2 linked regions of the Mus musculus genome follow. The protein of the gene in region 1 interacts with the protein of each later gene in a biochemical or structural test. Links are inferred from orthologs where the notes say so. Each region holds a gene or a part of one and is shown on either strand. Other genes may lie near its edges. The genes, in order: Klhl20 and Dapk1.

Region 1 (3,813 bases):
GCTTATTAATGCACACCTTTATTTTCTTGGTGCATTGGTTTCCCCAGCAGGATATGACGGGAATAGAAAGGATATTCTTCACTGTTTTTCTCACCTCTACTTATATAAAATGAGATGGTTAAGCTGGGCATGGTGGCGCACGCCTTTAATCCCAGCACTCAGGAGGCAGAGGCAGGCGGATTTCTGAGTTTGAGGCCAGCCTGGTCTACAGAGTGAGTTCCAGGACAGCCAGGGCTACACAGAGAAACCCTGTCTCGAAAAACCAAAAACCAAAACAAAAAAAAAGATGGTTATTAGAAGAACTTAGGAATATTTTTATCAGATACTTTAGAATAACCAAGTTAAAATGTATCATCATATCTGGGTTACTTCAGTTTCCTTCAGGAAACCACGTGAGGATGTAAGTTGGCTATCCCACTTTTGGTGGTCAGGATCTTTCTCAAGCCCATGACTTCAAGTTAGAAATGAGAAGACTTGAAAAGTCTAAAGGTTACCTCCACGTATTGGCATCTGGGTCAAAAACTTCAATGGTCTTCAAGTATGTTGTGCCATCAAAGCCCCCCACTGCCATAAGCTGTCCATTGACCACGGCCAGGCCGACCTGTGGGAGCAAAGCACAGTGGCTGCTGAGAGCCGAGAAAGCCGCGGGGAATTCACAGTCTCTAGGGAGACGCTCAGATCGCTTAGATTCCACTTTGCATGACGCCAGGGAGAAAAGGGAGCAGTACTCCATGAACGATGGGAACATCAGGTTAGGCCTTTTATTAACATATGCGCCTAAGCAGAGTCAGATGCATCTGTAAAGTGTAGAGAACCACTCACTTGGCACGAACAAGAACCTCCAACCTGCTCTCACTTCTGGTTTGCCCACTCTAATCCACTTTCTAAATTGCTACTAAAATATTATTAAAAACATGAACATAAACATATCACTCCTGTTCAGAAACTTCTTTCTTTTTTTTTTGTATTACTGCTTTTTTTTTTAAAGATTTATTTTATTACTATATCTAAGTACACTGTAGCTGTCTTCAGACATACCAGAAGAGGGCATCAGATCTTATTAAGGATGGTTGTGAGCCACCATGTGGTTGCTGGGATTTGAACTCATGACCTTTGGAAGAGCAGTCAGTGCTCTTACCCACTGAGCCATCTCTCCAGCCCCTGTTCAGAAACTTCTAAGCCTCCATTCTGCCTAAGACAGGTTTTAGGTCTGTAATGTTACTCAAGCTTTTAGAAATCTGGCCACCACGTTTGGCCTTGCCTCCTACATTTCCCCCTCTCCTAATGAACTCTGTGCTTTTGGAATGCTGGACTGTTAGTCTCCGAATCAGTATGCAGGGCTGAGTAACTCATGTGCATTAAGCCCATTCCCCCACGTCCTTCTGTCACATACAGCACTCCACAGCACATCCTTACTGTAGACACTGTAAACATTTCAGTCTCCTTCACCATAACAAGAATTCTATAGACATTTGCCTTCTAAGTAAGTGAAGATGGAATCAAGTGGACAGTGGGAATCACAGGGATAGATCTGAAAGCTGTCAGTTCCCAGGAATAAATAGAGACACAGAACACACGACTCTTCCCCTTGAGCCTTGATGTACGCAAACCAGAACTTGCTCCTTTTTATCCTTAGATTAGGGAGGGAGTCTCTCGGTGCAGTCTGCTTCTCTTTCCTTTGAGTATGTGTCCTACACTGATGGACTCCTGCCACAATCAATGCTTAATGGGTTAGGGTTCATTGAGACAAACATTCCCAAAGGTGAATTTTATGTTCCATTTGGACATCTCTTTAGTGACCAGACATTCATTTGTGGTTGAGACCATGACAACAGGTCAGCCAGATGTGGCCTACATTATAGATGGGGCAGACTCTCAAACCACCTTTGGAAGACGCGTAGAAGGGCCAGGTATGCTTTACTGTTTGTATCAGTATACGAAGTCTACTTGAAAAAATTAGCTAGGAATACCATACAGGAATAGTTAATGCTATTTTACGTAAGTTAGATAGGGGATGATATAGGAAAGATACTGTCCAGCGAAGTGGCTGGTAAAAGGTAAATAAAAAAAATAGTGTATACAATTACATATATGAATGAATAGAAAATATTTAGCTACTGGAGCTAAAAGCAATCAAAAGAAATACAAGCTTTTTGGGTTTTGTTTTTTTCTGTTTTGCCTAAAAGCGTCTTGACAGCTGAGACGCTGGAAATACAGCACATGGACAGCAGCCCTTCACCGCGCAGTGTCCTAGTGCAGCTTACAGCTTAGAGAATTCCTTTTACACACCCCCTCTCAGTGCTTGCCTGCAAAGCTCAAAGCTCCCAGTAGCTGGCACTTACTCCACTCCTGCGGGATGTCATGGCCACCACGGGAGACCACTGGTTAGTTCTGGGGTTGTATCTCTCAGCACTGCTAAGCTCTGTAGTGTCGTCTCTCCCTCCCACTGCATAGATCATGTCCTGGTACACCGCACAGCCTAGGTGTTTTCTTCGGGTCCCCATAGGCGCTATGGTGTGCCATCTGTTTTCCTGAGGATTGTAGCGCTCCACTGCAGTGAAGACAAAGATCAGTAAGTAAGAACAAACCTGCTTCCTTCTTCATAGCCACTCCAACGGCCAAGACACCTACTTTTCAGTAAATAATCTGATCAGGAAACAGTTTCTTTTTTTTTTAATTTGATATTTTCTTCATTTACATTTCAAATGCTATCCCAAAAGTCCCCTATACCCTACCCCCTTACATTTCAAATGCTATCCCAAAAGTCCCCTATACCCTACCCCCACGCTGCTCCCCTCCCCACCCACTCCCACTTCTTGGCCCTGGTGTTTCCCTGTACTGGGGCATATAAAGTTTGCTAGACCAAGGGGCCTTTCTTCCCAATGATGGCCGACTAGGCCATCTTCTGATACATATGTAGCTAGAGACATGAGCTCTGGGGGTACTGGTTAGTTCATATTGTTGTTCCACCTATAGGGTTGCAGACCCCTGCAGCTCTTGGGTACTTTCTCTAGCTCCTACATTGGGGGCCAGTTTCTTACAGTCATCTTCTAAGGAACTGGCATGTGTTAACTTCTAGTTGTGGCTACATAACTAGTTATATGCACTTTCCTTATCTTCTAGTAGGGTGGAACTTGATTATGACTTAAAAGAATGGTTTAGTATTAAAAATTCATTGTTATAGTTAGACAGGTTTTTTACTTTTATTTTTCTCATATAATTTATTTGATTATTTATTCATGTTTTGTTCTTTTTTTTAGATGGAGTCTTGCTCTGTGGTGCTAGCCTAGAACTCACTATGTAGCCCGGCCTCAAACTCATGATCGATCCTTCTGTCTTTGTCTCCCAAGTGCTGGGATTAGTGGCGTGCTCGCCCATGCTGTTTGCCTAGTGTCTTCTGAGCCACCGAAGATACATAACAATGAATCTCATGGTGTGCCACTGACAATATCCTTAGATAAAAATAGCTATTATGTCTAGACCAGTGATTCTCAACCTGTGGATCATGACTCCTTTGGGGGGGTGTGTGTCACACATCAGTTATTTGCATTGCGATTCATAACAGTTATGAAGTAGTAATTAATTTTATGGTTGGGGGGTCACCACAACATGAGGAATTGTATTAAAGGATTGCTGCATTAGGAAGTTTGAGAACCACTGGTCTAGATAGAAAAGGCAAAGAAGCTTGTAGCTCTAAGGTTTTACTTATTCTTATATTAAAAGAATTCTTTTTCTACTGAGGAGAGGTGGTGATTATGGGAGGTAGGGAACTCACTCTATTTAGAAAGTAGAGTTTTGCTTTGTTTTTTAAAC
Region 2 (4,378 bases), on another chromosome or scaffold:
TACGCCGTGTTTTTCTTTCTTTCTTCTTCTTCTTTTTTTTTGGCAGATGTATTTATTTGCATGCTTCCCAAGTAAATCACCCTTCTATTTATTTGGTTGTTGTTGTTTTTGGTTGCTGTTGTTATTTTTATTGTATTTGTCAATTCTCAAGATCTTCTTGTATTGACTCTCCATCTTAGCACTTAGGCCAGTGGCACATTCTAATCTCCTTCTTCTATCGTGCCCGCTGGACTCTTTCCTTGGGCCGTTAGGAATACCTTTTTGCTGTTTGTGTTTGTTTGGAGATGCGTACTCCAGCCTCACCTTCAACTTTTCCTACAGCTGAGGCTGGCCTTAAGCTCCTGATCTTCCTGTTTTCTTCACCCATGTGCTGGAATTACAGGTGTGTGCTACCACTCCTAGCTGGAGACGGAGTTAAGATTAGGATCTGATACATTCTTTTGCTTCTCTTTGTTCTTTTAGGCCCAAGCCTCCACGGTTGAAAATATCTGTTGAATGGAGAGTTTGAGCAGTGGTGTGGATATGAACTCTTGGCAGGTTCACGGATGAACCTTGGCGATTCTAGGCAGCAGGATAGAATCCCCTTTAGGAACTTTATTAAGTCAGGAGCACGGGGAGAGAGACATAATGGTTTCACGGGTGGACCCAGAGTGTCTGCGCAGACTGGCCAGTCCTCAGCAATCCAATGCAAGGTAAATGGCTACTGTTCTGACTGTAAAACAAACAAGCAAACAAAACAAAGCGAGTGTAACTATTTTAATAAAGTTTTATTTAACCCGATAGGTCCAAAGCACCATCATTTTGACATGTAGCTAATATAAAGACACACATACGGCGATTTTCGTTCTTTTTTTTTTTTTTTTTTTTTTTTTAACACAGTCTTAAACAGTGTCTGGTGTGTATTGAAAGCTTAATACAGCTCAAGCTGGACTCGCTGTGTTTCAGTTGAGCAACCACAGTACTGACAGCCTGTGATAGTTCAACCTTTTTCTCCCTGGATCTCAGACATCTCAGCTCAAAACAAGCGGCGGGAGACGCCCCCTCTGATGAGGCCCCTGCTGTCCTCTCTCGGTTTTTGTTGTCAACACAGAAGAACAGAGCGACCTCATTTATAAGCTATTTGTTTGCTATCGTTTCCATCGGGGTGTGGGCGCCTCCGGGGCAGGACTTTATTGATTTCTGCTCTATTTTTTTTTTTTTTTTTTTTTTTTTTTTTGTGGTTTTCCAGGCACGGAGCACGTCGCCTGGCCCACACGGATCCTTGGGTTCACACTCTGAGAGGACGAAAGCCTCCGGCTTCTTCGAAGCGGGCGGCAGAGGGCAGCCGGGCGCCGAGTCACAGGTGGGGCGCGCGCTCGGTGCGGGCGAGTGGGTGTGTGCGGGGTGCGCGCGGCGGGGCGGGAGCGCGGACCGGGAGGAGCCGCGAGCGCAGCGGAGGAGGAGGGCGCGGAGGAGGTGGTGGCTGCGTCCCCGCGGGGCCGAGCTGCGCCCGACGCAAGGAGCGGAGGCCGCTCGGAGCTGCCGGGGACCTGGACCCGCCGCGGGGCTCAGGGCGCACGAAGCGACAGCTGCGGGACCGGGTGAGTGGCCGCCGCAGGCAGTGGGAGGAGCGGGAGGGCGGCCGGGGCGCCGGGCGGGGGAACAGGTGGCGGGGCAGGGCGCTTTGTGTCCCTTCCCCGAGCTGTCCCCACGTTGTCCGGAGGCGGAGGCAGGAGCCCGGGAACCGCAGGCACGGGGCTGGGGCGCGGCAATGCGGGGTGTGGGGGTCCCCCAGCCTAGACTTAACAAAGGGCGCGTGGCCCCTGCCCGCGGGAGGCCTCGAGATCGGGACCCAGCCCCTGGGACCCCGATTTTTTAGAGTTTACCGTCTCATTCTTCTCCCCATGTCTTTCAGAGGTCTGCGGCTTGGTGCATGAGGGGCTCGCAGCAGCGAGGCGGCGGTGGGGATGGTTCGGGCCGCGGAGCCGGAGTGGCCTGGGCTTTGGTGAGGCGTGACAGTCTATCATGACTGTGTTCAGGCAGGAAAACGTGGACGACTACTACGACACCGGCGAGGAACTGGGCAGGTACCAGGAAGGGGTGACGGAAGCGCGCGGTGTGTGTGTGGTGGGGGGCACTGCGCGATAAACAGATGCTGCTTAAACCGGGCATGTCCCTGACTGGCCCTTCTCTGAGATGGGCGGATAGCAGAGGAACCGGTGCCTAACCAGCTAAAGCCAGGGACCATGAATAAACTGCCTGATCTGAGGGGTGGAGAGGCAACCCACAGTGCAGTTACTGTGCACAGGGTATGGTCAGAATCCCTGGATAAGAACAGACTTCATTGTGTGCACTACTAACTCCTGTCAGCCTTCACCCTTTTGAGACAATGAGGCAAACGCAAAGATTCTAACTGCAACTGGAGGGACCACCCATGTGTGTTTTAAGCGGCGTACAAGTTAATTAATGGGCACTTAAACAATTCTCTCCCCTTGTGCTAATTTTCAGTGCAACACCAGCCAGGATTGGTAGGCAGGCGTGGAACTTGCCAGATGTTGGCCTTGGATTTTGAAACTTCTTCCAACCAGGAATTTAATTCCCGGCTTGGTTAGTGGTGGCTTCGGTGTCATTTATGGCGGCTGTCTAGATTCAGAGCGTACCAACACGCTGTGGGGGGTGCGATGCTGAGCAGAGTGTGTCAGTGTCTAGGTGCACAAAGAAGATTTCACTGGGAGCCCTTGACGAGTGCTGGGTATCCATTAGCCCACCGAGTGTATTGATCTCTGCTGTGTGCGCAGAGAGCCCAGTGTTCATACCTAGATTTAAAATTTGTCTTGTGAAATTTGTGTATTGGCATTGTGACAGAAGCAGGCAAACGGGCTTATAAACAAACGTACTTGCAATTACTCACACAGAGTGTGTATTGAAGTTTGTATTTTTCCATATATACCCCATGGCCTCATACCAAGCTTCTTTTTTAATTCATGGGCAGGGAACTGAAAAGGGGTGGGGGTGGGGGTGGGGGGGAAGACCTATTACCTAATAGGATTTTGAAAGATATCTAACCAAAACTTTGTAATAATCCAGACAGCCCAGGAAAGAGAGAGGTCTAAAGAGTTACTGTACAGGATGTGTGTAAGTTCAGTGTAGCCTGGAGGCATCGGTGGAGCCTGTGCAGAGGAAGACAATACTATTATCTTAAATCTTAGTAAGTAAATAAAAGGCAGGGTTCTGAAAGATCACATTTCGTGGGTATGGAGAAGACTGAGGTTGAGTGTGCGGTTGAAATACTTGATTTAACTGGAATTCAGCCACTCTCCTTCTATGGTTTATAGCAAGATGAATATGTGTGTGTGGAGGGGGTGGGGGGTGTTTAGAAAATAAAAAAGGGTGGGGAAAAAAGGGTTTGATACCATTTCTGTGAGGTTAACACATTCTAGAAATGATCTTGCGAAAAGGGATGGGAAAAAAATTAGGTGAGCTGATTGCTTTATGAATGAAATTCATCGACTTTGTTTCCCTTAAAATCCTTCTTCCATGGATTAAGAGAAAGGGGAGGGGGTGGGGCGTCCCTGTGGTTAGCAAGTGGATTTTTGATCTTCACTTCGAGCTTGTAATGACAGGGATGGCGGTTCGCTCATTTGTCACTAATGTTTCTCTCTGATTTTGGCTCTTGTCTATGCTTCTGTGTCTAACTATTCTCCATGAAAGACTAATTGATGAGTTGTTTGTTTAATAATTCATGCGACCTAGGAATCTTGAAGAGGTGTTCTGGAGTAACTGGGAGTTGGGATTTTTAAGAAAGAAAATGCACAGCTATTGTGATAGCTGCTCTTGATTTTGCCAAAATGTGAAGCAGGTAAAGGTTGGCTTTTTCTAAGGATGTCCCACAACCTGTGGTTTTATCCTGTCTTGGACATCATCACTTCTGCCAAAGAAGCTCTGATGGGAGGGGCACGGGCAGAGAAGATGCGGCACGAGTGATGTCATATGTCTCTGGAAGACTGGGAGTGGAGGGAGGGGCTCACAGGCAGAGAAATGGAAAGAGACAGGTATGTGGCCTGAATGCGGGGTTGTCTTAGTTAGGGTTTTACTGCTGTGAACAGACACCATGACCAAGGCAACTCTTACAAATGACAACATTTAATTAGGGCTGCCTTACAGGTTCCGAGGTTCAGTCCATTATCATCAAGGCAGGAACATGGCAGCCTTCAGGCAAGCATGGTGCAGGAGGAGCTTGAGAGTTCTATATCTTTATCTGAAGACTTCTAAGGGAAGACTGACCTCCAGGCAGCTAGGGTGAGGGTCTTATAGCCCACACCCATGGTGATATACCCACTCCAACAGGGCTACACCTTCTAATAGTGCTACTCCCTGGGCCAAGCATATACAAACCATC

The links.
Region 2: the proteins of Klhl20 (region 1) and Dapk1 are reported together in a solved structure, tested with the Homo sapiens proteins (2 studies listed by BioGRID and IntAct, with this or other methods). The link is inferred for Mus musculus from reciprocal best matches to the Homo sapiens genes KLHL20 and DAPK1.

Annotation. Positions count from the first base shown.
Region 1 is NC_000067.6:161,093,187-161,096,999, forward strand, and holds part of Klhl20 (kelch-like protein 20), read right to left. Parts: intron 2,552-3,813; coding exon 2,343-2,551; intron 602-2,342; coding exon 495-601; intron 1-494. UniProt on the Homo sapiens protein: Substrate-specific adapter of a BCR (BTB-CUL3-RBX1) E3 ubiquitin-protein ligase complex involved in interferon response and anterograde Golgi to endosome transport.
Region 2 is NC_000079.6:60,600,531-60,604,908, forward strand, and holds the start of Dapk1 (death-associated protein kinase 1), read left to right. Parts: upstream 1-1,416; 5' UTR 1,417-1,580; intron 1,581-1,656; exon of another isoform or gene 1,657-1,729; intron 1,730-1,894; 5' UTR 1,895-2,004; coding exon 2,005-2,066; intron 2,067-4,378. UniProt on the Homo sapiens protein: Calcium/calmodulin-dependent serine/threonine kinase involved in multiple cellular signaling pathways that trigger cell survival, apoptosis, and autophagy.